Arabidopsis thaliana: one gene and its partners. The protein of the gene in region 3 purifies or fractionates together with the protein of the main gene of each other region. This does not show direct contact. Each region holds a gene or a part of one and is shown on either strand. Other genes may lie near its edges. The genes, in order: AT2G31920, AT4G28230 and CDC6.

Region 1 (10,957 bases), 890 kb from region 3:
TTGATATGATATGATGATATGAGCAACAAATTTTTGTATATATATTGAAATACAGTTTGATATAATGAAATATTAAGTTATAATTTTGGTACATAATTGGGATCAAAACTGGACAAAAATTGGGATCAAAACTGGACAAAATTTAAGCTTAAAATTTCTTAAAACATTTGTTAAAACATTTATTTTTTGTCTTAAAAGTTATAATTGCAGAAATCTACTTTTAAGCAGAAAAAAAAAAATTACTTGGCGTATATTTTGTGAAGTATAATAATGTTTGGTAGCCGAAATAAAGTAAAAGAAAAAGAGCTGACTGGACACTTTAGTTAAAGATTCTTGCTTTTCGACGGTGCCACAAGGTTACTTAACATGGTCGGTGAGGCCATGCATGATGCATCTCCAATTTAATTGGTAAAAAAGATACCCAATGATAATATGCCACGTACTACCGACCCTTTCCTTACATCTGAGGTCACCTGATACGTTCTCATTTTATTTTATTTTATTTAACCAACAAAAGTCTATGATAATATAAGAAAAATAAATAAATTAGCTACGTTGTTATTTGTGAACAAAAAAAAACTACGTTGTTATGCGTACCCGCCTAGTAGTCGGTACGATACGACAATAAAAACTCGATAAGCCGGAAAATATGTTGTGAAAGCCCTAGGGAAATAAAGAGCAGGAAAATTTTGAACGACAAAGATTTTAGGCTATAGTTATTGACATATTGTAAGAGCAACAAACAATATCGTCAAATATAGTTTCATGATGTCAACTTGTTACGTATTGTCTTTTTTTTTTTGTTTAAAAAAAAACAAAAAAACTTGTTAACTATTGAATTTGAGAAGTTTTGTACATTTCGTAAACTACATGATTATAAAAAAACAAAAAAAAACAACATCCATATATTTTTAATTTAGACAAACTAACTGAATCTAACAACGAAGAATTCAAATTTGATACTATATATGTTTTTCGAGGATCAAAAACTGTCTTTAATTATGTTAATTATTCATGTGACTTCTTGAGTATTTACTCGTTTTTTAGTATATGATAAATCATATGGATGAACTACATAGAGTGTTAAAGTTATTTATTACAATGATATTTTGATATTATTATATGTTATCTTCTTAGGAAATGAATTTAAAGCATCACTAATTTGGAGGTTATATATATAGCTATAAAATCGCCACGCTTCTGCATATTTTATATTATGTAATTTGGATTGAAACTAAGCAATGTTGATTAAATTAGAAAGAAATTGTATTGTATTACGTATAAAGTAAAACAAACCCTTAACATTAAAACCAAAAAAAAAAAAAGTATAACAAAAATAATATTTGATTGACTGAGAAGATTACTTACCTATAAACTATTTTAAACATTTGGCAATTAGTTAACCCCGTAACTATTGTAATGGCAGAAAATGAGGATAGGTCTTAGTCAGACATCGTCAGTTAAATTGTTCATCTATGTCACGATGTGTCATCTGATATATATGAAAAATACAAAAACTCACAACTCACAATCCGAGCCACAACACTTAAATTTGTTTCATTCTTCGTGTTTTATTTTTCTTTAAGATTTTTTTTTTTATTGGGTTATAATATCGCGAATATTAATTGGAAAACAGAAGTAAAACAATTATCCAAAAACAAAAATGGTTGTATTTAAGAACATATTTTATGTTTTAAAACATTATCTTTGGTTTCTCTTTATGTTTTGCCTTTTCTTTATAAAAAACACTTCAAATTGTTAGAGCTACAAAAATATCAAAAGTTATATATTACAATTATGTATAAACCTAAAGTTCACCTAATCGTAACTAGTTGGCAAAGAACGACTACAGTTTAGACCGTTAAACCAAAAAAGATCAACCGTAACACCCTAAGATCTGACGACGAAAAGACTTTAACAGATTTGTTTTTTTGGCAAAAGCTCAAAACACAAAGCAAAACTCATGTAGTGAGATTCTTAACAAAAAAAACAAGAGTTGCATGTATATAGTGCTAATTACAATCTCAAGTCAAAACCAATATGCCAACAACAAACGTGCACATCAATAATACGTACGTACGCAAAACATTCCAAAAAACTGCCTAGTCTACAGCTTATCTCTAATAACTAATCGTATAATATATATATATGTGATCACGTATATGAAACGTACGTATATAGGATTCAAGTTTTAAACCGAAAGACCGGCGATTTGTGGTCACGTTTGGCCTTTATCAAACCGCTCCAGACCTTAACATATCGACCCACCATACCTTTGAATTTCAAACCACCTTGCTTCTCTTTCTTCACCACCAATTGCATCGTCGGCTTGATCCCCTCGCCATCCTCGAAATGTTGATCTAGAGAGCTCTTGTTGTTAACATCAGCTTCTCCATTCAATTTCTCATCGCATCTCATCAGATTGTTCAAACTCTTACGATCAATCTCTTTGTCTTCGATTTGCTCTTGTTCTTTGTCTGGTTTTGGTTGTGAGCTTTGGGTGCATATTGCATGGTGATGCATATCGTTGATGAGACTAGACCATGGTTTTCGAGTTCTTTTCGACATGCTTAGATCAAACCGTGGCTTGGTCGGGTTTACTACTTCACTTCCCATGGTTATTAATCATACAAAAGAGAATCTATACTCTTTCTTTCTTTTTCAAAGGAGAAAACTATATAGAGGAATTAGGAGTAGCTATATGTCCATTTTCACTTTTGAATTGATAACGTAAGAGGTCGGTGACTGTGAGTGTTTGGACTACTCGTTACTTAATTAATAAATAAAGAAATGATTACAATCGTGACTCAGATGTCTATTTTGTAACTAATCTTAATTTATCTTGATACTTTGGGTTACTTGTAGCATACAATAAATTGAAACCACAACGGACCAAATTTCTAGGCTTGGGTTGATAATCCATACGTTTAAAACCGAAATTGTGAGAATAGTGTGGATTTATCTAGCTCGTGTCGAAAATTCAATATAGCTCATTCACTTAGATTGTGTCTGTAACTTTTGTAGCTCGAGCAGAAAAGAAATAGGATCCTAAGATTGATACAAACCCATCTCAGTCGCCAAGCTAGGGAAATGTTAAGATCCGAAACTTCTTATCATGTACTTTTCTTGTAATAAAAAAAAGTGGAAAAAGAGATACCGGATAACAAAGGTACAAACAAAGCAAGTTCACAAAATTTGGAAGGTTGGTTGGAGTGCGACCTGATGGGCGAGTTGGAGTGTCAACACTCAACACAAACACAGGTAAGTAAATGATTGGACACTTCACTTAAGTTTTCTATTCCAAGCATCTCCCCCATAAATTTGACAAGGTATTAATCATCAAACAGGCCTTGCATGAAAATATTCTTACAATTATTTTTTCTCTATAGAGTAATTTTAGTTGGACTTGGCCCATCACAATACACGCTTAAATGTGTGTAAAAGGCTTTATGATGTTAGGATTAGATAGGTTTATGATGACAAAAGAAATCTTCATCCTAATCGCATGCATAGTATGTTGTAGGTAGTGTACATCAAATATTGCTAAAAAGTCTCACTTGCAAATCACAATCGGATATTACAAAAGAGACAAAAAGGCTCGTGCTTTACACCTGCAACCAACAAAAGCTTTTTACTTGCAGCCCTTACCAAATCTCGAAGACAGAGAGACAAAACTGTTTACTTTTCCCGACACAGTAAACGACGAACTCTCCACATTCCCCGAGACACCTCTCTCTCTCTCTCTCTTTGAGATTCCTTCCCACTCTTCTTCTTCTTCCTTCTCCCAAAAGATGCTTCAGCTTCTTTTCCCACCATGGCTTCCCTCACTCCTGGAGTTCTCTCCAACCTTCTCAATATCGCCGCCGGAAACTCACCTTCTTCGCCGCCATTGTTGTCTTCTCATCGTTCACCACTCCTCCAAGTCATAGAAATCGTTCCTTGTCTCTCTGACGACCAATGGCGTAGCGAAGCATTCTTCGTCAAAGTCTCTGACTCTCTCCACGCAGCTTACGTCGCCGTTTCCACCGGTGATGACGCTGATCTGATACGTTCCGATGAAATTCAGCTAGGACAATTCATTTACATATGCGGTGGTTTACACGTCGAGAAAGGATGTCCTGTTCCTGTAATCCGTGGTTTGAAACCAGTCCCTAAGCGGAGGATGTGTGTTGGAAACCCTAGCGATCTTTATTCTAGCGATTTGCTGCTTCCTTTTACTCAGGTCTCTGTTTCTCCGACGACGACGAAGAAAAAGAATCTTGTTGAAACAAGGAGATTGAGTTTGGATTCCGCGAGAAGGAGTTGTTGGGATCAAACTCCTCCGGTGACTCGTCGTCGTGACGCTGCATTGCTTCTTTCTTCACCACGTCTTAAATCTAAATTGGTACACCTTTCATCTTTTTTTTTTTTTTTTTTTTTTTTTCTGTGAATCGCTCTGTTTTAGTGGTTTGTAGGGATTCTTGTCCTTTAAGTTGCCTACAATGGTATGAGATTGATATATGTGACATGTGAGAAACCAACAATACTACTAGACTAGTTTTCGTAGACCTTGAATGTTGCTCTGTGAGTCACTCTGTTTGATTCTTTTTGTTGCATTTGGTTGGATTGTGGAAGCTGTTGTTTTGAGTGGTGTAGGGTTTCTTGTTCTTTAAGTTGCTAAAATAGTTTGTTTCAGGAAGACCTTAAAAGTTGTTTCTTATAGATAGTACAGCAATTTGATATTGGTTTCACAGTTCATACACTTGAAGTCCTTGGCTTTCACAGATTTGTGATGTTTTTGCAGGTCTTGAATGATAAGAGTCTGCTAAAGATTGAGTCCCCATCAAAGTACTTTAACTGTGGAACCTCTCCTGCCTTAAGGAACAAGAATGTGGTTAAGCCTGGATCACCTATATCCATGGCTAGTTCTCCGAAAGATGGTATCAAGTCACCTATATCAAAGCACCTTAACTGCGAAACCCCTGCTTTAAGAAGCAGATATGTGGTCAAGCCTGCATCACCTATATCCGTGACTAGGTCTCCTAAAGATGGTATCAAGTCCTTGTCAAAGGCAGTGACTCCTCCGGTTGCGCTTTTTAAGGTGCCTTCAAGTCACATGACTTGGTCTGATCAAAGAATGTCATGGAGTGGACTCCCAAAAACCATTCAATTGCTCGGAAAGGTACGGTATTTGGATCAATCTACCGACTCTAAGAATTCGTAGTCATGTCTTTCAACCCCTCCTTTCAGGAAGTTTCATCACATAGGCAAGTAGCAGTTTCGGCAGCAGTAAGTGCACTGGAGGAAGCATCTGCCATGGAGTCTGTTCTATTTAGTTTGCAGTATGTCTTCTCTATTTCATCCCTAACCAGTTTCATTACACGAGTTTGCGAGTCCTTAATAATAGCATACATATGAATTTGTTCCTTCAGGGCCTTTGCCGAGCTGTGTGATTCTACTAAGAAGTTATCTACTGGACAAGTAGTGGCCCGGTTCTTGGACATCTACCACAATACACAGAATACATGCAAAGCGGTCCATCGGTTGCTTACTCAAAATCGAAACAACGGCTCGTGTAGATTAGTAGTAAATAAAAATGCAACATCTTGGGTTCAAGCTGCGGTAGTGACTGGTTTTTCTCAGTTCAACTTATTTAAAGAGCCTGGAAAGAAAGGTGATGCTGCTGATCATCACTACATTGTTATGCAGAACTCATCCGAGAAACTGAACCCCAAGGAGACAACAAGTTCAAGAACCCCATCCTACAAAGGCGCGAAACCGCCTGCAACGAAACATTGTTCTGTTTCAGACCGAAGTAGCTTAGAAGGTAAAAGCAGTCTGAAGGATTCAACGAGTCTAGCGGATGAGCTAGTCCAAGTTTCCAGCCAATGGTTCTTGAAATATTTGGAGAATTCATTGAACAAAGGGTCTTTCTTGGTGAAGACGGAAGAAACAAATGGAAAAGAGTCTCTTCTCGTCCACCTTAAAGCTTTAAACCATTGGCTCGATGATCTGAACTTAAACAGAACAGAAACGAACGAGAAAGTCGAAGATTTAAGAAAGAAGCTGCAACGGTTTCTACTTGAGCATATTGAATCTGTCATTGGGGATACTTACAATATGAAAAGAAAGATTATAAATTCCATCTAAAGAATGTATACAATATGGGTTAAGAAAAAACAATCATCTGCGCATACTGTACTGATGTTCTACTTCATCATCCTCGTCTTCCATAAAAGGCGTAGCCTCATGATCGGTCTTGGCTTTACCTTGGACAGGTTCTTGATTGTTGTTTTCTGCGGTTTGTCTGTTAGCAGAAGAGTATTGTTGGACCACAAGAACCGAAGCTTGCATTGTGAAGTTTGATGAAATTAATGTATCGCCTATAATCCCTAAATCCGGAGTACTATTCCAATCTGTCAACCCTGAGGTCACAGGTGTTTCTACTTGATATCCTCTTCCCACAATGTAAAGATCGTAAGAATTGTTATCTTCCAGTTCTAAAATCGCTGTGATCGTTTCTTGGCCATTCTTAACCACTTTCTCTACATAAGTCACTGATGGATCATTCATAGTCTTGAAGTTAAACTCGTAGATGGACTCTTCATCGACATGTTTATCCTTCTCGTACTCGTCCGCGGCTTCCCCGGCTGAGACTAAAGCTTCCTGGCTTGGGACGAATCTAACGACCGTGAGTTGAACCATTTCTTGTCCCACCATCCTCCAAGCGTAAGCCAAAGCCTCTCTGTCGTCTCGACCTCCTAGGAATAGCATGGCGATTTCTTTCTTTGTGGTTTCGCCTTGGAACATAAAAGATTCAAACCGGACAGTCGTCATGCCACGGTCAACCAAAATCCCAACCGAACAAGGCGCGTGGCTCATAACGTTTTGGTTGATTTCAGCGTGCACTGCGTTACCTTCATTTAACCGACCGTCTGACGTCATATTCTTGTGGTAAGGCAATAAAATGAAGCAGGCTTGTTTATCCTCGGCCAACAAACAAATATCTTCGTCCATCGTTGCGTAAGGTGAAACCGCGGTAATGGTCTGAACCATTACCCCGTCGTTGTTCACTTCGAGAGCTGTGAACATCTCAGCGATCTGGTCAGATTCCGCTCTAACTCGGTCAGCAAAGTTAGCTTTCGGTTTGGCCTCATCGTTCATAATGAGCAACGAAGCCGTGGTGCGACCCGTTAGCTCGACTAGGTGGATAGCAAAAACGTTAAGAGGAGATTTCTTGGTCGGGTTAGAGAGTTGTAATAGATTGGTTATGCCAGAGACGTTAGGGAGGACATGGACGCATGTCAATACACAAAGCTCTGACTCTCCTTTGTGTTTTTGAATGGTTCGGTTTTTATAGAAAATCAACTTCTTCTTTGGTTTGTAAGCAATGGCTAATAGTGGCTGCACCACCATTGACATCACTAGAAACGCCAACGTCAGATGAGTGTACATAATAACGTCCAATGCCTTGGTGTCTCGTCCAGCATTGAGAATGACTAGTGCCATTGTTCCCTTGGTATTCATAAGTGCACCAATGGCTAAACCATCACGCAAAGGTATACGCAAGAAAATGGAGCAAAACATCGTTGACAAAATCTTCACCATAACCGACGCAGAAGTCACAACCGCCATCATTCCAACGCTCACGGTCCTGTTCATGTAACCAATATCAGCTCTTAAACCGCAGATGATGTAGAAAAGAGGCATTAGCATTCCCGAGAGGAAATCGTGGAGCTTCTCTTCGATCATTTTTCGAATGATGTGGTCATGAGGGATCGATAGACCGAACAAGAATGCTCCGGTAATTGAGTGAACCCCACATACTTCGGTGATTAAGCTGCAAATAATGACTCCAGCGAGAGTGTACCATACGTGAGTGTCTCCCACTTGACCTCCTTCGACGGTGTTGTTGAAGATCCAAGCCACTCCAGGTTGGATCACAAAGTAGCAGAGAAGGACAAAAGCTATGGTTGATGCTAATGAGTATGGCAACATTTCGTTGCGTACACCTAACAAATTAAATATGGTTTTCGTTAGTACTATAATTCAGTAACTATGCGTGTGTGAGGAAAAATAACACAAGGGAACAACCATATTTAGTTACCAGATTTGGAAAAAATCGCCATTCCAAAAATGAAGAGAATCCAAGTGCACAAATCAGTAACAACGGCTGCACACATTGCAGTATGTCCCATATCCGTACGCAAGAGCTTGAGATCCGCAAGAATCCTAGCAAGATCAGGGAAATTTGTACAGCCAAATGCGATCGACCAGTACATACAACCTGCTAGGATTTTGTCGGCCTCTCCGTTACTGGGAAGGTAGTATAAGCCAGCACCGGCAAGTAAAGCCGCAAGGAGGCCAACAATGGCTATGATCACTGGTTTGATGTCTTTGATCTTTATCATCCTCAAGTCCAAGCCGAGACCGAGGAGGAAAACGTTGTAAACGAGAGCTAAGTTTGCGAATGTCTCAAGAAGCATTGTATATTTATAAGGGAATATAAGTTTAAGGACCACTTCGTTATTGCCGAGCACAGTCGGGCTGAACAGTAATCCGCACTGTAAACAAAATAATCATTACAATTATTATAGGATCATATTATAAATTATGTACGAGATTAATTTGAAAAAGATCCAATAATATAAATCGTATGTTGCAAGTGGACAAATCTTAAATTTTTTATCATTTTGGTTTTATCTTAAAATCACCGTTTTCGAAAAAAAAAAGAAGCAAAAAGCTGAACTTTCGTTAGAACAATGAAGTTAATTGTTAGCAAAAATTTAATCAAGAATTTGAAGATGAAGACTCTTTAGGACATAGCTAACAAAGAAAAAAAAGGAAACATAGGTTTGCAATAGTTGTGGGTAATAAGTAATGAAAAAAAACAGTTTAAAGATTGATAATGGTTAGTTAAATATGTTTTCAAGATTGACTACTCACAAGTATTTGAGCGACGAAAGGAGGAAGACATAGAGGCTTAAGAAAATAGTAGAGTATGCGGTAGGTAAGATTAGCGACAGACAGTTGCGTCATAAAGAAAGGAGCTGCGGCTGAAATGGTGTTGCTTCCATGCATTGCCGTTTGGTTATAACATACGACTCTCCCAAACCGCGACGAACTTGCATCAATAGATTCAGCTGCGGGATCGGCCATTTATTGGGGGGATTTTCCTTAATAGATTTAAACGGGATTCTCTCAAAAAAAACCCAAGGTTTTGGCCTTTTCCCTTTCACAAAATCTTTGTGTTTCATCATCTGTTTTGTTTTATTGCATTAATAGGTGAGAGCTACACAATCTGTTTTTCCTTTTTTTTTTTTTTCTCTAATCTTCTTCTTTGTCATTGCTAATTATAGTTTTTTTTTATGTTTGATGTCAAATAGAAAAGTACTAGTAATTTAGCTGTCTTTGTATTCTCTTTTGCAAATGAAATTAGTCAATTTTGGTTGGTTTTCTTGTTTAGTCTGTTATAAAGGGATTATAAAATCCAATTACATGCTGTTTTCCTTGTTATCAAATAATAGTACTACATGATATCAGTGTTTTTTGGATAGATGAGTTAATATCTCCCTTAGTGATACAATGATATATTTTTATTTCATTTAAGGAAAAAGGCTAAAACACAGGGTTGCACATGTAATCATGATGTTCTTGGATCAAGAAATTAGACAGATAATGATGCAGGTTTGAATATTTAAAGATTACTTAACAAAACTAAAATAAAAACTTTCGACCATAAATAAAAAAAGAGAGGGAAAAGAAAGCCAAACCTAGCTGGAAAAGTTAATCCAAATGGTCCAGTCTCAGAAACCGGCCTTAACCGCCACCGGAGATTCTCCACCGGCCATTACCTTCACACACCCCAGAAAATAAATAAATGGAAAAATATGTAACTTTCTATAAGATTTGACAAAGTCTACACTTTTAAGGTGATGACTTCAAGTTTAAGCACCACACATTGGTGAAAGGCCTTTTGGCTCTGCAGTAAGAGATGGAAACAAACGTAAAGGGCACTATTGTCTTTTAATGAAAAAGAGGAAAGAAGTTCACTTTCACAGCGAAACAGTACCTGGCCATGGCCGATCAAGAGAAAAGTTGGTGCAGTAGCAATATCAAAATGTAAAGCAGACAACTTTATTGTTCTAAAAGCAGAGATTTCACATTTTGTTCAACGTACGAGGACCCCATTCATACTCAAAAGGAAGCATCATAAAGCTTTGAAAAGGAGAAACATATGAAGAGTGTGACCTTACACCAAACAGTTTTCTATGGAATGCATGGTTTTCAAAGCAAATGACCTAAGAGAGAATATCTGAAAGAAGTTGATTTGCCGCCGCCTTTACTGCATCTTAAGCTCTAAAACCTGCAAAAAAGAGTTAAGAGACTTAGTGGAGACGAGAGGTGACTAGGTGAGGGAAAAGTCACTTTCTAAGTTAAGAATCTCCAGTATCTTCTGATTCAGAGTCGCCTATTTTTTTATGATTCATCTCTTTCTTCTTACCTTTTCTTTTGATCTATCTCTCTGTTCTCCAACTGCTGCAGATTCTCAGTGTAAGAGCTTGGAAGAGCTTGAGTTATGGTAAGCCTCCCCATTAACCTCCTGTTGCATATACTATCTTTTCTTCTTACTGTGACTATTGAAAAGCTTTCTTTGATAAATAATGTTAGGGGACTCCTGTAAATATCACACTCGGATCACATGTCTGGGTCGAGGATCCAGAACTCGCATGGATCAGTGGAGAAGTGACTGAAATCAAAGGCACCAATGCCAAAATAGTCACTGCAAACGGGAAAACAGTAAGAAACTAATATTCATTACATATAAAACCACAATAAATGGAAAAGATTATGATATTTTTACCATGGACCTTTGCAGTAAGATTCACAGATTTTTCTAGAAGAATTTTGAGAATAGATTATATTATTACAGGTTGTTGCTAGTATTTCTAGTATCTATCCAAAGGATACAGAGGCT
Region 2 (9,875 bases), on a different chromosome or scaffold from region 3:
GGGTCCTAATTTCTAGTGGCATTTCACCGTAAATAAGACCAATGGCAAAGGGACTAAACCGGCAAATAGAACTTTAGAAAACAAAAAGAGAAACCACAGAAAGCAGTTTGCTTCTACCTTTTATTTTTGTCTATATAACAACAACAACATTGACATATCAATTCACACATAAACTCACTCTCACTCTCTCACTGTCGGCAAACTAACTTATTCACTTTTCCGGCACTGATTCTGCTCGGGAAAAACAACTCCGGCACAAAATGCAGCTTTTTCCAGTCATGTTAGCCACACTCTGCATTGTCCTGCAGCTTCTCATTGGCTCGTCAGCTTTGGCTACGACAAATCGCCACGTGTCAAACTCTCATTGGCTTCCCGCAGTAGCTACATGGTACGGAAGCCCCAACGGTGACGGCAGCGACGGTAATTATAAGTCTATAACACATAATTAACCACACTTCACAGTCTAGTGATTCCTAGTTAAACACTAACATTAACTTATATACCGCAATTGTGTAGGAGGAGCGTGTGGTTACGGTACGTTGGTGGATGTGAAGCCGTTACATGCGAGGGTTGGAGCGGTGAATCCAATTCTCTTCAAAAATGGTGAAGGTTGCGGAGCTTGTTACAAGGTTCGATGCTTGGACAAGAGCATTTGTTCCCGGAGAGCCGTTACCGTCATAATTACCGATGAGTGTCCCGGCTGCTCTAAAACCAGCACTCACTTTGACCTCAGTGGTGCCGTCTTTGGCCGGTTAGCTATTGCCGGAGAGTCAGGGCCTCTCCGTAACCGTGGACTAATCCCAGTCATTTATCGCCGGTACGTATATTAATATTATTCTCATTATTCTTGTCATTTATTAATGTTTATGCTCTTTCAATAACTAACTCGTGACAGTGCACGAGCATATAGAAAAATAGGAATTATTTAGGTAAGAGGCTAAAACAGAGTTAATATAATTATTAGATTTATTGGAATGGGTGTGAATGTATTAAACAAAAGAGGTAACTTTAACGGCGATCTCGTTTTGTATGGTCCCAACCATTTCTTGACCATTGACCATTTGATCTCTTTTTTCTCACTGATATAATTTTACCTTCTTTCTTTCTTTTGCATAATAAAAAAAGGACTGCATGCAAATATAGAGGGAAGAACATAGCATTCCATGTGAACGAAGGATCAACTGATTTTTGGCTATCTCTGCTGGTCGAGTTTGAAGATGGAGAAGGAGACATTGGCTCCATGCACATTCGCCAAGTAACTCTCTTTTTATCTTTAATAACCAAACTCGTGCACGCACTTCTTTAATTTCCCTTTTTTCGTACCACAAAGTCACTTCCACTTCAAAAGTCTTCTTTTTATTTTATTTTACTGCACTAAATAAGAAAAAGGAGGAAACGAATCTCAGTGGAGTGAGCACATGTATGGATCTTTTATTGACCAGCTAGCTAAAAAGGCACACCACATCACTCAAAGTCTTCTAAAAAGTAACAATAAAAACAGACTCAAAGTGTAAAGACTGATGGGCTTTCTTGTGTTTTGTGAATGTTTGGTGCAGGCAGGAGCCAGGGAATGGTTAGAGATGAAGCATGTATGGGGAGCCAACTGGTGCATCATTGGAGGGCCACTCAAGGGACCATTCTCCATCAAGCTCACCACTTTGTCTGCCGGTAAAACACTCTCTGCCACCGACGTTGTCCCTAGAAACTGGGCTCCCAAAGCAACTTACAGTTCCCGCCTCAACTTCTCCCCTGTCCTTTGAACCATCTCTTCTACATAGTCAAAGACTATTATAGTTCTATTACTACTACTACTCGTGTGATCGTTTTTTTTTAGAGAGAAACAGAGTGACTGCTGGCCGTAGGATGGAAACAGTAAGAAAAGTACATCCGAATCAACGGCTATTGCGTTCTCTCCTCTTCCTTCTTGTGATGTGGATTTGTGTGTGTGTGATGTGTCGGTGAGTGTGTTATAGAAGTCACTATAGCCATCTTCAAAGGGGAGATAGAGCTAGGAGTAGTATTTGGTGGTGTCACGTCGTTTGTTTTTTCTATATAATTTTTGTCACTATGTCTTTCTATTATGGGACATGGCATAATATATCATATGAATAATTTATCACTATGTCTTTCTATTGTGGGACATTACATAATAATGTATGATATGAATATTATGTACACTACTTCAGAGAGAGCATTGGTATTCTACCAGAACCTTCAGAGTATCTCTTCTTGTTTCGTCTCCTCAAAACCCAAGAAATATAAAATATACTACGAACTAATACGAAGCTTCAGGTTCCACTTCAGGTTCCACTTCTGTTTCAGAAACTGCATCTTTTGGGGTTTGTTCCCAACTGATATTGGCTCCTAAACATTTGTCCTTCATGTATTTTTCATCTTTAGTATATATCCTCTTTCCTGATTTTGTTGGTTTTGGATGGAGGAAGTGGTATCACATATCACATATGTTGTAGGATTCGTCTTCAGAAACTCTGACACATTCTTGATAGATTTCTCTGTTTTCCCATCTCTGAAGGTTGTTTGTCTGCAACTTTTACCACTATGTTTTTCTCAATGTTGGGAACCTCACATGGGATCAGCTGTGCTTGTCAACTTATTTTTGGAATTTCTCTTGGACCAAGTAAAGCTGCAAGAGACACCAAATCCACTCAAGTCTAGTCATACAGAGAATCACCTGGAAAAAAAAGCAAGTGAAGTCAAAGGAATGTGATTCCGCGTAGCTATGATCTGATCAACATGCATTTTCTTTTCTCAAGGTGCAATGGCGTTTTAACTTGACCATCAAACATTGAGATATACAGTCTATACAAGTTAATAGTCATGGTTATTATAGTATTATCTGACGGATTCAAATTTGACATATAAGAATCGGGGAAAAGAAAATGTAGAACTGGTTATAGCCAAATGCAAGAAGATATGTGATGCAATAAGATAGTTTGACATGAGCATAAATGTGATAGACATATGCTTAGATTAGTAGAAGAAGCAGACAGGGCTTATCTAGTATAAGTGGGATAAGCATAATATGTGAACGGCCCACATCCTCACAAAGCCAAGTCCAACTATCACAAGATTCACTCATTCCACTAATAAACGTTTTCAAATTAGAATGACAGAAGAATATGATAGTTAAAACTACTCATTAATATATTGGTGATAAAATAAAATAAAATAAAATAAAATTAAACTACTCACATATAATTGGTTGGATTAGTCATTAAAGATAGCACTTAGCAAATCAAAGTAAAAACAAATACTCACTACTAATAATAAATTAACCGGAAGCAAAGGGACAAGAAGTATTGATGGACAGTAATATCACGTGAAGGGGCACGTGATGACCCAATAATCGGTTAACACGTAACCAATCCCCTCGTGGGACTCTATCCTAGTCTCTAGGCACCACCCCACCCCTCACATAAAACCATCGTTCCATTTTGGTTTTAGGCCGACCTATCGGTTTTTCATTTTCGTATAAAACAAAACAAAACAAAACAAATTTACATTCAACAAAAAAAAAAAAAAAAAAAAACCAAATTACAAAAATAATTAAGAATGGGGCCCACATGAAGGGGTCGATAATTGAAGCAAGGGTGACTCATCTTGAGGATAGGACCCTCTAAGCTCGCCACTTGTTTCCTCATTACTCAGCACTTTCAATTTCCCCCGAGATATTTCACGATAACTTAACCATATCGTACCGTATCGCTTTCCTATACCTGGATCCCACTAATCCATTGTGCACGGTATCGCTTATTTTAGATCTTTTTGAATTTACCTATTTACCCTCACCCCAATATCCCTCTGGCTATAAGTACCAACCTCATCTCTTCATTTCCTTCCTACAAAAATCGAACTAATCTTCCTTTTTAACAAAAGCTTCTCAAATCTTTCAAAGGTTTCCAATTTACGAAGAAAGGATCTACAACATATAATCACTATTAAAGAATGAGTTATCTGAACAAAGTGTGGATGGCAGCATCGTTCGTAGCTGTTCAAGGAAACGCCGATCACGGCGTCAAGTTAAAAAGCGGTCTCACCTCTGCTCACCGTCTCCAACGAAGACTTTCCTCCGATCTCCGTCCTCTCGCCGCCGCAGATCTAACCGGCGACTCTCTCCCTTCGGAAGAAAGACGTCGTACCTCTTCTTCCACTCCCGATGAGTCTCTCCGACAAGTCATGTACCTCAACTGCTGGGCTCAAGGCTAAATTCAGATAATGATGGTCGTGGCTCGCTCATGAACTCCGCTGAATCAGAATTTTTTTCTGATGCAAACTGTATATAGTTTGGTTCATCTGTGGTGGTTGACTCGTGCTTATGAAATCGCTTGAGTCGGATTTTCTGGATGCAACTGTATAGTTTGGTTACATCTCTGTGAATATTAGAATGTTCTAAAAGATCAAAGCAAGCCTTGGATTATGAGAGAACTCTGTTCATTTTCTATATCTTAAAACATCGTTCGCTCACCAACTTTATTACAATCTGGAATCTTGATTGCGATTACCACTAATTTCAACTTTATCCACAGTAAAATACGATTCTAAATTAAACAATAGTACTAAAATATTCCAAAACCATCGTTATCCAAAGAGACAGACAAGTCAGTCACTCCATAATGCTTTTATTTATTTATCTATTGTGGTTGTCATTATTGAGGTAGGTCCTATAATTCATCTTACGAGCAAACTGAAATGTTATATTCGTCGGGCCAATTGTGCGAGGAACAAGAGGCCCACAACGAGATCAGCTCTTGGGCTATTTGGCCCATTTATGTAACTTGGCTTTGAATGAAATCGGAGCGTGGCTGCTTAATCCAACGGTCCAAATCTGACGACGCTCCTTAATGGAGTAATGAGTAACGTCTCCTTCATTTCCAACGGTCAAATAATCCTCAAGAAATACTCGCTTCTTCCTTCTTCCTCCTCAAGTGTCCAATTCTTTCTCCAAACCCTAAATTTCTCGTAGAAGAAGATCAAATCGCTCTGAATATGACATCAATTGAGGCAACAGAAACGCTTAACGCTCCTCCAAAGCTTCAGATCTGGAACAACGCTGCCTTCGACGATGGAGATTCTCAAATCACTTCCGCCATCGAAGCTTCTTCTTGGTCTCACCTCAACGAATCATTCGATTCCGATTGTAGCAAGGAGAATCAGTTTCCGATTTCGGTTTCCTCTTCGCTCCAATCCTCAGTCTCGATCACCGAAGCTCCGTCAGCAAAATCCAAGACCGTGAAGACCAAATCCGCCGCAGATCGGAGTAAAAAGCGAGATATCGATGCAGAGATCGAAGAAGTAGAGAAGGAGATCGGACGATTATCGACGAAATTGGAGTCGCTCCGATTAGAGAAGGCGGAGCAAACCGCAAGAAGCATTGCTATACGTGGAAGAATCGTTCCGGCGAAGTTCATGGAATCATCTCAGAAACAAGTGAAATTCGACGATTCGTGTTTTACAGGATCGAAATCAAGAGCCACTCGTAGAGGCGTTAGTCTTGGACCAGCGGAGATATTCAATTCCGCGAAGAAATCTGAAACTGTGACTCCTCTTCAATCAGCTCAGAATCGACGCAAGTCTTGTTTCTTTAAGCTTCCTGGAATCGAAGAAGGTCAAGTGACGACACGAGGTAAAGGAAGAACGAGTTTGAGTCTGAGTCCGAGATCTCGCAAAGCGAAAATGACGGCAGCTCAGAAGCAAGCAGCTACGACGGTGGGGTCAAAGAGAGCTGTGAAGAAAGAAGAAGGAGTTCTCTTAACAATCCAGCCTAAGAGGCTATTCAAAGAAGATGAAAAGAATGTTTCTTTAAGGAAACCATTGAAACCAGGAAGAGTTGTGGCTAGTAGGTACAGTCAAATGGGTAAAACGCAGACTGGAGAGAAAGATGTTAGGAAAAGGTCGTTGCCTGAGGATGAAGAGAAAGAGAATCATAAGAGGTCGGAGAAGAGAAGAGCTTCTGATGAAAGTAACAAGAGTGAAGGGAGAGTGAAGAAGAGATGGGAGATTCCAAGTGAAGTTGATCTGTATAGCAGTGGTGAGAACGGTGACGAGTCTCCTATAGTTAAGGAGCTACCTAAGATCAGAACGCTTCGTCGTGTGGGAGGGAGCCCTCGTGATTCAGGTGCTGCTAAGAGAGTTGCAGAATTACAAGCCAAGGATCGTAACTTCACTTTTTGCCAGCTTCTGAAGTTTGAAGAATGAATGATCCGCTTATCAATTTGAGTAAAATCCACAACTCTTGTTGTGGTTACTTGATTGTGAATTTGTTTGGTTTTGATTTTGTTTTTCGGCTCGCAGAGCAAGAATCTTTGTTGGAATGCTTAATGTCTTTTCTAAATACACATTAAGATTGTGAGTTTTTGTTATCTTTTGTAAATGTCAGCTTCATGAAGAAAGATTCTTTCAAAAGGTTTTTGCTTTGCCACTCACAAACAAGAAGTTTGGCCACAGCTTTGTGAAATTTACACCAAAAACAAACGAAAAAGAGAGAGACTGTATCTTGGTTTCCTCTTAAACACATTACAAAATGCAGTATTGAGTCAGATGCGGCTTGAATCCCTCCCGAATATGTACCTCCTTGTCCAGTCCGACACCACCAGAGCCCTCGTTCGCCAGCTAACTTGCTTGCTGCATCATTCATGTTTCATGTTTCAAATTCTGTGCATTTACTATAATGAATAAAAGAGTTTCTCAGCGTTTACCTGGCATAAACAGAATACCAGAGCCACTGGGCGCTTTTTCCAGCTGAAACCCAGTCTCCAGGTAGTTCAGCTGCTGCTTGGTCCCCTCCTAGTGGAGCAAATTGTCCAAAGTGCTTGTACCTGTAATCAAGCGAAGAGCTTTCATCTCTATATCTTGGAAGTTTATGAGGATGCAAGGTCCTGAGTTCATTAGATTAGGCATACTGGAAGGGGCGAAACTGATGATGCCCGCCAGTTCTGAAGCGCTTAGGACCTTCAGGTAGCTCTTTACACTGCTCCATCCTGTTGAAGCATTTTGCAAGATAAGCACCTTGCTGGGCAGCGACCTATGCAAACAAACAAGCAGACCATTGACCCTGACATCCTAGATAAAACCCACGATTCTACGCATAGGTGAATTCACCAAGTACCTGAGCAGTTGCAGGCAGGGTTTTCATCTGTGAATCAGCCTCCGAGAGAGCCAATTTGAATGCCTCAATGTCTACTTCTTTCCTTGCATTTCCTTCAGAATCTGCCAGCAGATCGTTAATATGCCTCATATGCTTGCTTTTCAGGTAGAGCTCCACCTGCGGATACCTCACAATAATATCATCAACCACGCCTTCTAACTCTTCCATGGTCAAGGTTCCTGAGTTGTCCGCATCTGCAGCTTTGAATATGTTTGCAATATCCCCCTAAATTAAGATTCACAAGAATCTATCAAGATTTAGCATGCATATGAAAAAAAGAAGGGAATAGCATCAACAGTCTAATGGGGTTCACAGACCAAGATTTTTCGTTGAGCTATGGAAGCACAATCGCCAACTGCATATACATTCTCACATCCTGTCACTTGTAACCACTCGTTAGTTGCCACCGCACGTCTGCCTCCTTGGCCAACTTGCTCCATGAAGTCGCTGATAACTGGACGGGTTCCAACTCCAGTGGACCACAATATCAATCCATGAGGAATACTTACGAGTTCTCCACTTGATTTGACTTTCACTGTGATATCTTTATCAGTCACAGACATTACACGCATTCCAGTCTGAACATCAATACCATCTCGCGTGAACTTTTGTTCAGCAAATGAACTGATACGTTCATCAAACCTGCAACAACCAGTCAACCACTTGTCAAACTCCACAATCAAGCCTGGCATGAAGAAATGATGAAGAAGTCTATAGTACTGTTGATTACTTACGTATTCAGAATATGGTCTCCAGATTGAATGAGTGTTATTTTTACGAGCTCTTTGACTGAAGGGTATATTTTGGTGATATCCTCTATAATAAAGTCATGTAGCTCAGCTGCAAACTCCACACCAGTAGGACCTCCTCCCACGATTACAAAATGAAGCTTTCTTCTTCTTTGTTCCTCAGTGAGGCCAGGAAGGATTGCTTTTTCAAAGCAATCAATCACTCCTCTACGAATCCTCTGTGCATCCTCTACTTCCTGCAGTATTTTTGAAGAAAGGAATTATGAAATTGGGAGAATTATAATCTTCACAAGTTGAAACCATGAAAGTTACCTTGAGAAAATGGCAATTCTCAAGTACACCAGGAGTGCCAAATGTGTTAACTTGAGCTCCCACTGCTACGATCAAGTAGTCATATCCAAGGGAAAATTCTTGGCTTGCTTCAGGATCATCCTTGAAAACTGGTCGACAGTGAACCTTCTGATTAACATGATCAATCTTAAAACAATCTGCTTCCCACAATTCAATTTCCCCATTTTTCTGATAACAACAACAACAGATACTATTTAAGTAAGAACTTAGCAGATGGTGATGATGCCTGCATACAGTTTGAAAGAGAGGCCTTTGTTACCTTCTTGGTTATATTACGGACAGACTCCACAATGCTTCTAGCTTCAACAGTTCCACAAGTGACGCTAGGTAACAATGGCGTAAAGGCAAAGTAGTTCTGGGGAGACACAACCTGAACATCGTAGGAAGTTATGTCGAGATCTTTAAGGAAACTTATACCAGCCCAACCAGTCCCAAGCACAACTACTTTCTTCTTCTTATGCTCCTCCTTTTTGTTAGCTTCTTCGTTAGCATCAGCGTATGCCACTATACTTCCACCGCTGCAAATGTGTAAGAATACACAAACACACTCTCAATGAGCAATTCCCAAATGTGATTTTTTTGTTCACCCACAACAAGAACTTAGCTAAAGATACAGAACAAGCTAATCAGAAATACTACAGTTAAAGTTAGGAAAATATTGAGATTAAAGGCGGCAAAAGTCAAAGATTCGAGATACATCGGATTTGAGAAAAGGAAAACATCTAAGAAAGGTCCCGACTTTTGGAAAGCGATGACAAAGTGAACATTGAAAGGCAATGAAACCTGAGAGTGCCGAGGAGGAGGAGCTTAGAGGCAAGTGGAGCAGATCGAGAGGCTCTTCCGAGAGAGGAAAGTAATGTCATTTTGGTGAAAAGTCTTCAGAGGTTTGATTCTGAGAAGACAAAGTTGAAGAGATCCAAGAGAAACCTCTGACCGAGTTCAAGTACTGAGCTTTAGTAGCGACTTTTCACTAATTAAAAACGCTTAGTGTCTCCATAATCCAGATGTCGTGGATACAAAGTCTCCTTTTTTTATCTGGTCGATTGATTATTCAAGTTACATACAATTGATTAGCTTAAGTTAGTTACAATTGATTAGCTTGTGCCATTCGGAAATCGTGCAACCAATTATGTGTGATTAAATAAGAACTATTATATTGATGTTGCACATGGATATGTCGTCAGATTCAAGTTTATGTCGCAACACAAAATTTGGTAGAAGGGTCAGTTTATAAATCAGCACACATCCAAGGTCCAAAGCCCACAAGAATGGCAACACTCTATTAATCCCACAAATTCAAGCTGTCCTCGTTTTTGTTTGTTTAGCAATCGATCCAATTCACATCGAATTCAACCGGGTCAAGAACAAGCGACTATTTTGATTCACAGATTCCAAATGATTTTGCTCATAATTAGCCAGTTTCAGACAAATGCCAAATCTGGAAAACAAAAAACAAAGGCAAAAACGAATAAATGAAAATGAAGTGGTTTAGCGGATAATTTTAGAGGCTAAACTATGATGAACAAGTATGCCTCCACGTTAACACCGCAGTTCAATATATGCCTCGAAGACTAGCTTTGTTTCCGTGGTTTTATATCGAAAACAAGCTA
Region 3 (11,632 bases):
TTCCAGCAAGGGGGCGATTGGTAATTTTCCTCTGTAGTAGAAAGAAACACACATTGAGCCATTCATGAAACGAAGTTCATAGATTAAGGGAACCAAAGATTAAGAGGAGAGAGTAGGTAACACTTACATTTTTTGAACGTAACAATATCTCTGGACTTGATGCAACTAATATGCATCCTCTAACCTGTAAATTAAACACATACAAGAAAATAAAAGAGAGAGTCCACAGATTAGTAATATTATTTTCAGAAAAGATGTAAGGAAACAAGGACCAAAAGAGTATACCTGCAAATAGGCCATGTAGGGACTTGGATTTACAATCCTAAGAGCTCTATATATCTCAAATGGGTCCGCAAATGTCCGCCTTTCAAATCTCTGACTAAGAACTATCTGAAAGATGTCCCCAGCCAAGATATGTTCTTTGGCTTCCACCACTGCCTCCTTGTATGCCTCACTCGTCATAGTTGATTTCTCCAATTTCGGACCGAAGAGCTGAGTGCGTAGTTTTATGAAACCAGTAGGCATCTTGGGGCTGCAATTCAAAGGAAACACATGAGCATAAACAGAATTTACAAATAAAAGACAAAAATTACAATCTAAAGACTGGTAAAACGAATCTACTCACGGTTTTTGGTCTTGAATTCTAGAGGTTAGAGATTCCAACCGATTCATTCCTTCACGGAAATTTTCTTCAACAGAACGATCCTTATCTATCCGCACCCAGTGGATCACATATGCTTTCTGTGCTCAACAGGATCAAGAAAAACTAGATAAACTCTTCAATTCATAATCCGCAGGAAGATGCAAATACTAGTATACCTTCTCAACATGATCAAACACGATCACATCATCATAAAGACCCAAATTAACATCAGGAAGACTCCTATCATCCTCTGGAGCATTAGAAAAAGGCAGCTTCTTCTTCTCAACATAACGTACAGTGTCATATGAAAAGTATCCAACCCAACCACCTGGTTACAAATCAAATCAACCATCCAAACAAATCAGCAATGCTAAAACAAACATCACTCTATTTAAAAACAGATTTCTCCACTCACCGCAGAAAGCTTCAGGCAATTCATCAATGCCTTGTGGATTCCATTCCTCCATGATTTTCTGAGGAACCATCATTGGATCATCCACTTCCTCCTCTGTCCTAAGACTAGCTCCATGGTCCATCACAGTAACTACATTTCCCTTTGCAACGATTTCTATTGTAGGCTGAGCTCCAACTACACTATACCTACCCTAAGAGAAAAATCCTCCAAGAGTTCAATTTCATTGAACCAAACAAAATGCAAACACTGAGAACAATCATCAAAAAGGAAGGCTTACGATGTTGGACGATTGCGAACCAGGCTCCACAGACTCGAACAAGAAGCTAGGAGCATCTCTATCATCTTCTTTCACCAAACATCGGTAAGCAAGTATCGGAGTCAAATGATCCGAGAATACACATCGGAATAGAGGAACTAAGTTTCCCTTTTCCGATGCTTTTTTAAATTTTGTGAACTGTTCCTCCGATAAATCTGTGAGGAGAAGAAGAAGTTCAACTTCGATCGAAATTGAGAGGCGCTAATAATGGGGGAGATCAGATTTTTACCTAACGACGGAGTATATGAGCATTTGATAGAAGGAAGACGACGCGAGAAGTGGAGGAGTTTTGATCCAGCCACAAGGTTAAGAGAAGTAGCCGGCGGGGACTTGAGCGATAGTGGAAACCGGAGCGAAGGGAAATGTGGTGGATGCGGCGTCCGATGGTGTGTAACGGCTATGGCTTCGACGGTGAAAAAATCAGATTTGACGGCGGAGATTGAAACGGCCGACATCCCCGTGAGCTCGTTGATTTTAAGTCTTTCGATACCAGTTTAAACCTTTTTAAGTGTGGACTGGGAGAAGAATATATACACTACAGTACTACAAATACAAAGCCCATAAAGCAATGTTTTCTAAACCGGACCGGCGATCGGACCGAATGGGACCGCAAACGAAAGCATATCTGGATTTTATTGCCAAAAAACAGTCAAGCATAGTTTTATAACCAACATTTATTCCTTAGGGGTTTGCTGGATTCATGATCTGTGTTAATTTTAAAATTTAATCAGAATTTTTGGTAATTTTCAATTTCCAAGTTGAAATTATGTGCTATTCAATCAATAATTTAAAATATTTAATCCATGATTTTGAAATTTAAGCTATAGATTTTAATAATTTCATGGATATTTTAATAATTTCATAGAGATTTTAAAATTAAAAAATACGAAGAAAAACATTTTCAATCATAGCAAATCAACAAAAAGTTGTAATATACTTGATGCACATGTTATTTTAACCAATGGTGCACCAGAGCACCTTGGAGATGTTTTAAACACTTCTAACTTTCCGTTGGGGTGAATTCGTTCATGACAAAGTTGGTAAAAAGATTAATAGATTGTTTATATTATAATGAATAAGAATATGGCAAATGGAAAAGAGTCTTCAGTATATGAGGGCTTTTGTGAACCACGGCGCATAGTGGCTGTAAAATGCCTTAGACTAAAGCTGAGACCTCCAAGATTTTGAACGGAATTAATAGCCACAATGCATCAGACGAACACTCAGGAATCAAGGAGTCAAGGACAATCACTTGATGGCATTAATTTCATTGAGAGCATGACTAATAGTACAAAAAGAGAAGAATTACATAATATGAGTTCAGCTTTTGCGCTAACCAGTAAAAACTAATAAAGATTATATTTTGTTTATGTTCCTGCATTTACATGACAGAATAAACAATTTATGTGTACTGATTTTTTTATATATATATAACTCTTTGTATTCTGTAAAGAATGAAGGAACCAACCCATCTATAAGACTATAACTCAGTAACTTCATCATAGAAGACAGTTGCGGAAGAATCGAATCTCCTGTGGTGCAATGAAAAGAGAAGGTGTTAACTTAAGAAACTGCATTTTCGGAATAATAAACAAAGAGTGTAATGTATATACCTTAAGAGCAAATGTGATGTCTGCTTCATCTACTCTAAGGCTCACTCTCTTTAGTTTATCGTCTCGAGCAAGACTAAGTTTTAGAATCCCCTGTGCCAAACAAAACAATGACATTTCAATCAAATGTCTATTATATAATGCATAAACCATACACAAACATGAGAGTTAATCTTATAGGATTAGATAAGTACCTGATCATTTAGCACTGTACACATATTACTGAACTCAGTAATTCCAGCTGGAGTTATCATCGAAGATTTACAGATTTCCAAGTATAGCTTATTTAACTGCATCAAAGTGTGAAGACAGAGATGAATATTATGTACAATGTCTATAAATTCATGAGTTGTGTTTGTGTATTGCTCATTCAATGAAGATTTACCTCTGCAATGGTTCTATCCTTTTTGCTCCCTCGAAAAGCCTTTGCAGCAGAACAGACTATGATCTGCAAGTTTTCAATAGAAGCATGTTATTTCAGTCCATTACATACTTTCAGAGTAGGTCTTATTAGCCACTAAGTCAGAGAACCAACACGGGTCTTTAGTTTCTTTGTGACTTCAAGTTTGTTCTCTTAATACTACGATTTTGCTAATTCTAGGTAAGATCATGTTGTAAGCATATCCTAACAGTTACTTAATAGTTAAAAACGAGAAGAACCAGATATCAATAAGTGTGTGTGTTTTGATGTGTAACTTACTTGTTGGTGTTGAGGTAGAGACTGGATGGTGTCAACTATTGGAGATTTAAACGTCTTGGACAATGCAGCTATCATATGATCCATCTTGACCTATAGATTCGATAAAAACAATTATGGGATAAGACAACGGTTTCTATGGATATTTGCATCGTCAGTAAGTGAACTGAGTAAAGTAGAGAGTAAAATACTAACCACTTGACACTCTGGAACTGGACCTTTTGGTTCTTGATCTATTGATCCTCTAACTTCTATTTCTAAGATTTCTAGAGCGCTCCTGGAAATTGAAAAAAAATGTGAGTTAACTGAGATTGTCATCTTTAATGTAATGATTTTAAGAGTGAATTTACAGTATAAAGCCCATTTCTATCTCATTCATCATATGCAATACAAGAACAAACTCAAAGGAAACGAAATTCGTAAGAGATTTCACCTGCAGACACATAGAGCCTTTCTCATGTCTCCTGATGCAGCTGATACTTTCTGGAACAATGCAAACATTATGAATATCAATTAAAGAATATCAAAATGAAAACAAGGTTGAGAGAAATAAAAAAATGACATATATTTTCTTACTCTTGCACATATTTCCAAGGCATTGGACTGAAATGCAACAAATGGAAGTGCCTGTTACAAATAGTGAAAATAATAATTTAAGATCAACATAGAAGTACCATAAGTTTAGATTAGATATATCATCATATAGTTTCAAGGTCCTTAAATGGGTCAAAAATTGTTATTGACATGTTAATCTACTATGCATTTTTTCTTCATAATTCCTTGAATACCATTAATCAGCCATTCCTCTCTCATTAAAGGCATCTTTTAAGACTTACCACAAGCCTCTCCTGCAGAATCCTAAGGATCTGATCTTTAGAATAGGCACGGAAAGTGACAACCAAAGGTTTGCCTGCATTGGATGGAAGTATAAGTTACAGAAGTATACTCAACTTTTAATCTTCATCAAAGCTTAGGTACATATGGTGAAGAAAGAAGAGTGTTCAAATGGCACCACACAGTGATGGAGAAATTCTTACAATTAAGAGACTTCAATTTTGGAAGGAAACGATCTGCAAGGTCTATTGCATTTGCTACACCTGGAGGACAAATACGAACTTTAAACTTAAAACTTGTTTGACCATAGGAAACAGATTTTAAAAAATGAACATTAATAACGCAAAAGACAGTACCTATAAGTATACACCTTGACAATGGCAAAGTTGTGAGCATAAAAAGCTCATGAAGGACACCTCGGTCTCTTGTGATCAAGTAATCCATTTCATCTGCAATTATTAGCCTGCAGATAAAGTTTGAATGAGAAACAGCGCAACAAATTATATCTACTTATCTAGCAGGTCATCATATCACAAGACCAAAAACAAAAGAAAAACCTACATCATCTTTGATCTGGATTGTTGTTGCTTTTGAGAAAACAATCTCTGAAGTTGTTGTAGAGGTGAAAATGAACCATTAGCTTTCTTCCCGGACTCATAGTTACCAAGTATCTAAAAACAAAATAACTCAATTAACAACTATACTGAAATGATGAGACCAATAACTTCGAGTAATTTTCGACTGGATAAGGTCTTACCTTGGAGAAAATATCTGTACTTTTTGTCAGTGATGTGCAATTAACAGACACTGTTTCAGGACAATGCAAACCTGCCTGTAAGAATTCATGAAAGATCAATCCTTCTATTGAAAGATTCAAACTAATCACAATTTATGAAACATGCACAAAGATTGGTTACCTGCTTTGCCCATTCTTCAGCTTGTAGTCTTACTTTCTCCATGGATAGTGACTTTCCAGTTCCAGGACACCCACATATATACAAACTACCAGCCTTCTTCTGCTCCATACAACCTTTAACAAACTCGAAAACCCGTCTTTGCTCATCCTCACGACAAACAACAGTTGACGGTGCCTTAGATACATGTAATGCCTCCTTCACAGCTTTCATTTGTTCATCATCTGTATCCATTCAAGATACATCAATCATACAATCAAACTAACTAAGAGCATGAGAATCAAAAAGCTCATCATATATACATACCTTTAGGGTTCCACTTTGATTTAACCTCTAAACAAACAGATATCACTGGATTTTCCAATTTTTCATTAGAATCTTCCTTAATCTCCTGCAATCAGAACTACAATCAAATTGATTCTCTCACTCGAATAAACTAAACCAAACAATTAAACTAAGAACAAGGAGCTTACCTCATCAGAGGTCTTAGGGATTGAAACAGCACATCGACGAGGCGATTTCCATTTCATCGGTGTAGATATCGAATTCACAGGCAACACCACCGTCGCTGAAACCTCCGCAGCCGAATCGGATATCAACTTCCGTTTCCGAGAAGTGTTGACTTCGGCGGATCTAACACCTCCGATACTCTCCGATCTAGAACCGACGACATGTTTCTGAGGGGAAGAACTAGGTCCGGCGATTGCAGGCATTGTAGGTTATCAGAAGGAGGCAGAAAAAAGGCGGGAGATCGAGATCGATGTTGAGATTGAGATCCAATGGAATCGAAGTGAAGAATCAATCTCATGGTTTTTAAGAGGAAAATGAGATAAGAAAAATAAATGAAAAAAAAAAAAAAAGTAAACAAAGAGGGAAAAATGGAAGTAGCGGGAAATAGCAATGGAACAGAATTTTTTCGCCGCCCGGTTTTCTTCGGCTACCGTTTTAAACCATCGGCTTCGCGGCAATTTTATTGGGCCGCATTATGGTTTGAACAATTTAACGCCTATTAAAGCCCTTTAACGGCCCATATATGACCATTTACCACATTACCATCTCTGGCGGGGGAAAAAAAGTGATAATAGTTAATTACGTGCACAACAATAGTAAACGTATCTTAACCTATAATAGCTTTTCTCATTATATACATATAGTATAAAAAAATATGAAGCAACTGTATATAGTTTATTCACTCTTAACTACTTGATAGATCAGAAATTACATATAATGACAAAAAAGAATCAGAATATAAGATAAGAAAGCTAGGTGATCTATGTGTCAAACTGTCAATGCACTTATATTTATTTATTTCCTCATATATATAATCATTGAAGTATGAGATATCATCATATCAACATATAAAGACGACGTGGAGATATTTTTCATGTATATCTGGTTCATAAAAGGTTTTATGGAAGAAGGGTATCCACATAAATCGATGATATATCATATGATGTGTAGCCAAAATATCAATGCATTGATATAGAAGAAGGATATCCACATACATTGATCATATATCATACGATTTGTTGCCAAAAAAAATCAATGCATTGATATAGAAGAAGGATATCCACATGAATTGACGATGATTTATTATATGATGTGCATGTATCCAAAAAAATCAATGCATGCGTAGACTAGATATCTACGAATATAAAATGAAGGATTTTTTTGATAAATACTAGGTGGAAAGAAGATAAGAGATAATAAGAGTGGTGGCCTTTGTAATGTCTCTCTCCTTTTGATTTTCGTATTGGCTATATCCTCCTTTCAAGAGTCATAACTATGTAAGAATTTAGTTCCTATATATGTTAATTTGATTTTTATATTTTGTTGTGTTATATAAAGTACATAAGAGTTGCATATTAATCAACCAAATTATTTACCTTATATAAATTAAATTGCATTCAATATTTGAGCTTTGCGAACGTTCTTCTTCTCATTGTCGGAATCCAAATTCTACTCTCTTTTTTTGCTGCTAAGAGAGTAAATATCATTAGATGAAAGATAGGTGTTACAACATAAGACCTAAGCAAATGAACCTTGGCAAAAATAAATATAAAACAATGAAACATTTTGATTATACACATTCTCAACAAACATTTTGAGCTTTGCGAACGTTCTTCTTCTCATTGTCAGAATTCAAACTCTACTTTTTGCCATTTTTTCCATAATACCCCAAAATCGAGGTTAGGTGGTATTTCAATCGCCAACTAATTAACCACTACATATCCAATCAAAATTATTCTTGAGAAGGCTGACATGCAATACAACAATATTTATCGGATGACCAATATACGATGCGTTTCACTGATATTTACCCTCACACAAAAAATATGGTCAATTTAACAGCTTACCTCCCTAGACAACTTGGTATACAAAGTAACACATTCCTATTGTTAAATAACATATAACACCTCCGTATCGAGATCTTCTATTGTTAAAAAATGTGAATATATATATATATATATCTAACATCTTATTTTGATATCGTCATGATCATATTTAATTAACATTATTCACTGCCAAAAAGTTTTTCACTGTGTAATGCCCATCGATCATATCGTCATTTGTTTCATTGCCCAGCTCCATCATATCAATCTTCATAAACCAAACCCCCTTACTCCTTAGTATATATCACATGATTTATTCTATCATTTTCTCTTTGTTTTTATTAACCCTCCATACATTTTTGGACATTTAGCGTTTGGTTTTATGATTTGTCTTAATACTAGTCTTCCTTGTCGCTGCCCATTAGCAATTAGTTCCATCACTTGCATAATCTATAACTAACTTTTTCACCTTTTAGAATTGTACATTTCCCAAACGAACAAATCAAATAATCCACATGATCTTATCTCTTGCTAAATTCAAGTATTCATATTACATATTTTATATTTACTTAAATTGACGGGCCATGCCGAGGATACGAGAATTTTTTAATAGAACTAAGCGGATCTCACACCCTTAGCCTACCGTCCGACTATGGTCCACACCAACATTGATAATAATGCATTTAGAAAATGGTATGGAAAAATATTTCTATGAACTCTCCAATAATATTTAATCTTTTGTTCGAAAGCATTTTATTATTTAGAATATTTTTAAAGAAAAGAAGCCAATTATCAGGGATTTATTCATCCAAATAATATAGTTATGGAGAGCTAAGGTAAATAGAGTTACAGAACAAGGATTTATAAGATATAAATTACACCTTAAGTTGGTCGAGATTACAATATGTTATGTCTATTCAAGAATAATTACAACTGCTCTCAGTACTTATTTTCTTTCTCATATACATCTACCATTCTTCTTCTGGTGATATAATGATTAACGTTGAATTCAGTTGCTATTTCATGTCTATTTCGATTAAGCTTAGTTTCTATGAGGGACTGGTTATAATCAGTATATGTTCCTCTAGAACTTTCTTTCAAAACACATTTCACATCCTATATTCATAAAACTCGTAACGAGACGAGCTAATTCGTTTTAAATCCATGTGTACCCTAAAGTTTTTAATTACGAAATATTCTCGATGGTCCAAATATAGACGATAATAAAAAGGAAAAAAAAAACTGAAATTAGGACAAGGTCAGATTCCACCGTACGTTTTGTAAAATGGAATTGAATAAACTAAGGGAATAAATAAATATCAATGAAAGGTGAGAAGAGTCCAATATTGTTGAAAGAACAATAAATATCAACCGTTAAGAAGGACATAAGCCGAATACCAACGAGAGCCGTCAATTCTTCACCTTCTTCTAACGTCAATGTCTCAACGACGTCAAATTACGGCAAGTTGGTGCATACCTTTCTCTCCTTCTCCACCGTCGGTTTTTTTACCCCCTCCATTTGGCACGTTTCAACAAGATATAACCACCCTATAAACAAAACAAGATATAAACCACTTGTGTTATTCTTCTTAACTTTCGATTTTTCGGTTAGGTTTGGTTACAGTTTTTTCGGCTGATTTTTCCCGAACTAGAACTTATAAGCTCGTCCATTATGGTCTACATTGTTTAACTCACGTTTATACATATTTATCAAATTGAGACCGAAATTGTAAATTGGTTCATTTTTTGTTGTTGTAAATTTCAATTGCAGTTAATTTGGTTTTCTTTGTTTTGTTTCAGTTTAGTTCGGTTTTGGTGTTTTGAATTGTGTGTTGGTTATGAAATTATTAAATACGTTTTGATATTTGTTCAATTTAAAATATAAGTTGTTAAATGGGGCAGCTCCAAATCTTACGAAACTAGATATATATCTCAAAAATACATGCATGCGATAATTTACGAAGTCGTAGTTATTTGTTACAATCATCATTGCACATGCACAGAAAAAGGTATCTTATAAATTACTCAAATCAAGTAAAAAATAGTAGGATCCACTATATAGTCACCCCAACTATATAACCATATAGAGAAACAGTGTAATCAAAATCTCCCTAGAACGGAGATTATTTTCTATCACTACTTTGGTAAAACTAAAACATAATTTTCTATAAGCAATTATTTCCTTCATTGCATCATTACAAAACTTGATCTCACATTTCATGAACGATTTACGATTTTTCGAATCCGTCGATTTTGGATCAGACGTATTTACGTTTTCTATACAAACAAAATTTAAAAGAAAAAGATGTAAAAATTTTGATACCAAAGAGGGCAAAATGAACATAGACGCAAATCGCAACACTTACCACACATCAAAGTTAACGCCAGATTACATGGACACTACGGGACCCACTCTTTTAGCATACCTTCTTGCAAAACTGTTACTATTTTCACACTCCTAATTAAACCATTTTAAAATAAATTATTATCTTACAGCAAGTAAAATATCTACATGGCTTTTCCAAGACCGTTGATTGGTTTAAATTTTAAATTGGCAAAATACAGTACGCAATACACTAGTACTAGTTGTCAGAAAATGACAAAAGAAAACCCAATAGTCTGGGAGACACTTGGTCTATCTTAAACCGTCAGATGTAAAAATAATAAATCCTAATGACATCTCCGGTTAATCATGTGAGTCGGTTCTTGTCACCGGCTTACTTGTTTGTCAGATTCTTTACGTCGCTGTATAACCGGCTTTAACCCGGTCATATATTTAATTTAATTAATTTCGATATTTTCGATCATAAACTCGTGCGCAACAAACCCTTCCTTGACATCTGTATATAAAAGCTCATCTCCTCACTCTCTCTCTCTCCGCGTTCTACTAAAATAAAAGTGAAGCGCCTTCCTCAGGATTTTCCCGAGTGAGTTTCGCTTTCCTCCGAGAAAATTTCAGACTTAAATTTTCCGGTGAGTTTTTCTTCCTCTCTTTACCTATTTTTTTTCTTACTAATTCGTTGAACCCATCGATTCTCGTGACATTACCTTTCCACTATCCGATTTGCCATCTTCAATGATTCAATCTCAAGATAATTAGTGGATTCAATTTCTCTTATGATTTACAGGAATCTAATAAGGAGAAGCCATTGTTGAAGAAACTAGTCTCTCTGTTTCGAATCTTCAAATTCAGATTCAATATCTATCAGGAAAATTTCGCATGGGGGTGAAAGTAGCTTCTTCGTCTACTTTCCTTCAATGGACTACTCAGCCTATTATTCATCAGTCTTCTTCACCATCTCAAACCCTAGCTTCGGGAACCATAACATCTCCTTCAAAACGACGTAGCACAGTACACGACGGCCGGTTTCTATCATGTCGTTTCGTGACACAGAGACTAAACCGTTCGGCTCTTTTCGGAACTCCGTCGACGAAGCTTCATCGACCCAAGTCATGTGAGCTATGGAAATCATCATCATCATCATCTAGACCGATCAAAACTCAGTCGTTTCGAAGAGTTTATAGCGCAAACTTAGATCCATTCTCCGACGAAGAGTTCTCGAAAAAAATCCAAGAGCTAACTCTCAGATTCAATATCCCACACCATGACGACGACGAGAATTCAATCGAGCCGCCATGGAACGAGATGGTTCATTTGTCGAGTATTGAAATGAAAGCAAACAGTGTTGATCTTCCTCTTTCACTTCGTATTATAAAGAAGAAACGTCAATGGGAAGAAGGAGTTAAACAAGCTGGTGAATCTGCGTGTTGCTCGATGAATAAAGCTTTTTCTTCAATGGTGTTTATGATACGGGAGCTTCAGAGCTTTACTTTACATATGAGAGAGATTCTGTTCTACGAAGACTTGCA

Evidence for each region.
Region 1: the proteins of CDC6 (region 3) and AT2G31920 purify together in Arabidopsis thaliana (affinity purification with mass spectrometry, with the first as the bait; one large-scale study listed by BioGRID). This does not show direct contact.
Region 2: the proteins of CDC6 (region 3) and AT4G28230 purify together in Arabidopsis thaliana (affinity purification with mass spectrometry, with the first as the bait; one large-scale study listed by BioGRID). This does not show direct contact.

The regions. Positions count from the first base shown.
Region 1 is NC_003071.7:13,569,225-13,580,181, reverse strand, and holds AT2G31920 (elongation factor 1-delta, putative (DUF936)), read left to right. Parts: upstream 1-3,800; 5' UTR 3,801-3,814; coding exon 3,815-4,384; intron 4,385-4,783; coding exon 4,784-5,161; intron 5,162-5,229; coding exon 5,230-5,321; intron 5,322-5,411; coding exon 5,412-6,129; 3' UTR 6,130-6,162; downstream 6,163-10,957. Other genes in the region: AT2G31930 (uncharacterized protein), read right to left, coding at 2,185-2,616; CHX21 (cation/H+ exchanger 21), read right to left, coding at 6,163-7,991, 8,087-8,543, 8,926-9,138; myosin-like protein XIF, read left to right, coding at 10,559-10,561, 10,651-10,779, 10,913-10,957.
Region 2 is NC_003075.7:13,992,331-14,002,205, reverse strand, and holds AT4G28230 (uncharacterized protein), read left to right. Parts: upstream 1-4,898; 5' UTR 4,899-5,007; coding exon 5,008-6,216; 3' UTR 6,217-6,427; downstream 6,428-9,875. Other genes in the region: EXPB3 (expansin B3), read left to right, coding at 261-420, 517-817, 1,126-1,255, 1,557-1,760; AT4G28240 (Wound-responsive family protein), read left to right, coding at 3,967-4,227; NDB1 (NAD(P)H dehydrogenase B1), read right to left, coding at 6,555-6,642, 6,717-6,836, 6,921-7,042, 7,127-7,390, 7,483-7,807, 7,900-8,150, 8,227-8,433, 8,525-8,783 and 1 more.
Region 3 is NC_003071.7:12,684,096-12,695,727, reverse strand, and holds CDC6 (cell division control 6), read right to left. Parts: upstream 6,148-11,632; 5' UTR 6,143-6,147; coding exon 5,903-6,142; intron 5,821-5,902; coding exon 5,736-5,820; intron 5,654-5,735; coding exon 5,433-5,653; intron 5,348-5,432; coding exon 5,273-5,347; intron 5,187-5,272; coding exon 5,077-5,186; intron 4,979-5,076; coding exon 4,719-4,978; intron 4,592-4,718; coding exon 4,518-4,591; intron 4,309-4,517; coding exon 4,258-4,308; intron 4,165-4,257; coding exon 4,115-4,164; intron 3,959-4,114; coding exon 3,877-3,958; intron 3,775-3,876; coding exon 3,685-3,774; intron 3,433-3,684; coding exon 3,370-3,432; intron 3,275-3,369; coding exon 3,179-3,274; intron 3,078-3,178; coding exon 2,988-3,077; intron 2,907-2,987; coding exon 2,874-2,906; 3' UTR 2,856-2,873; downstream 1-2,855. Other genes in the region: ASA2 (anthranilate synthase 2), read right to left, coding at 1-31, 128-184, 286-532, 626-741, 820-971, 1,059-1,248, 1,336-1,529, 1,604-1,829; AT2G29679 (uncharacterized protein), read left to right, coding at 6,330-6,452; AT2G29670 (Tetratricopeptide repeat (TPR)-like superfamily protein), read left to right, coding at 10,983-11,632. UniProt on the Arabidopsis thaliana protein: May be involved in the initiation of DNA replication. May play a role in endoreduplication. Could act as one of the factors that contributes to maintain endoreduplication competence.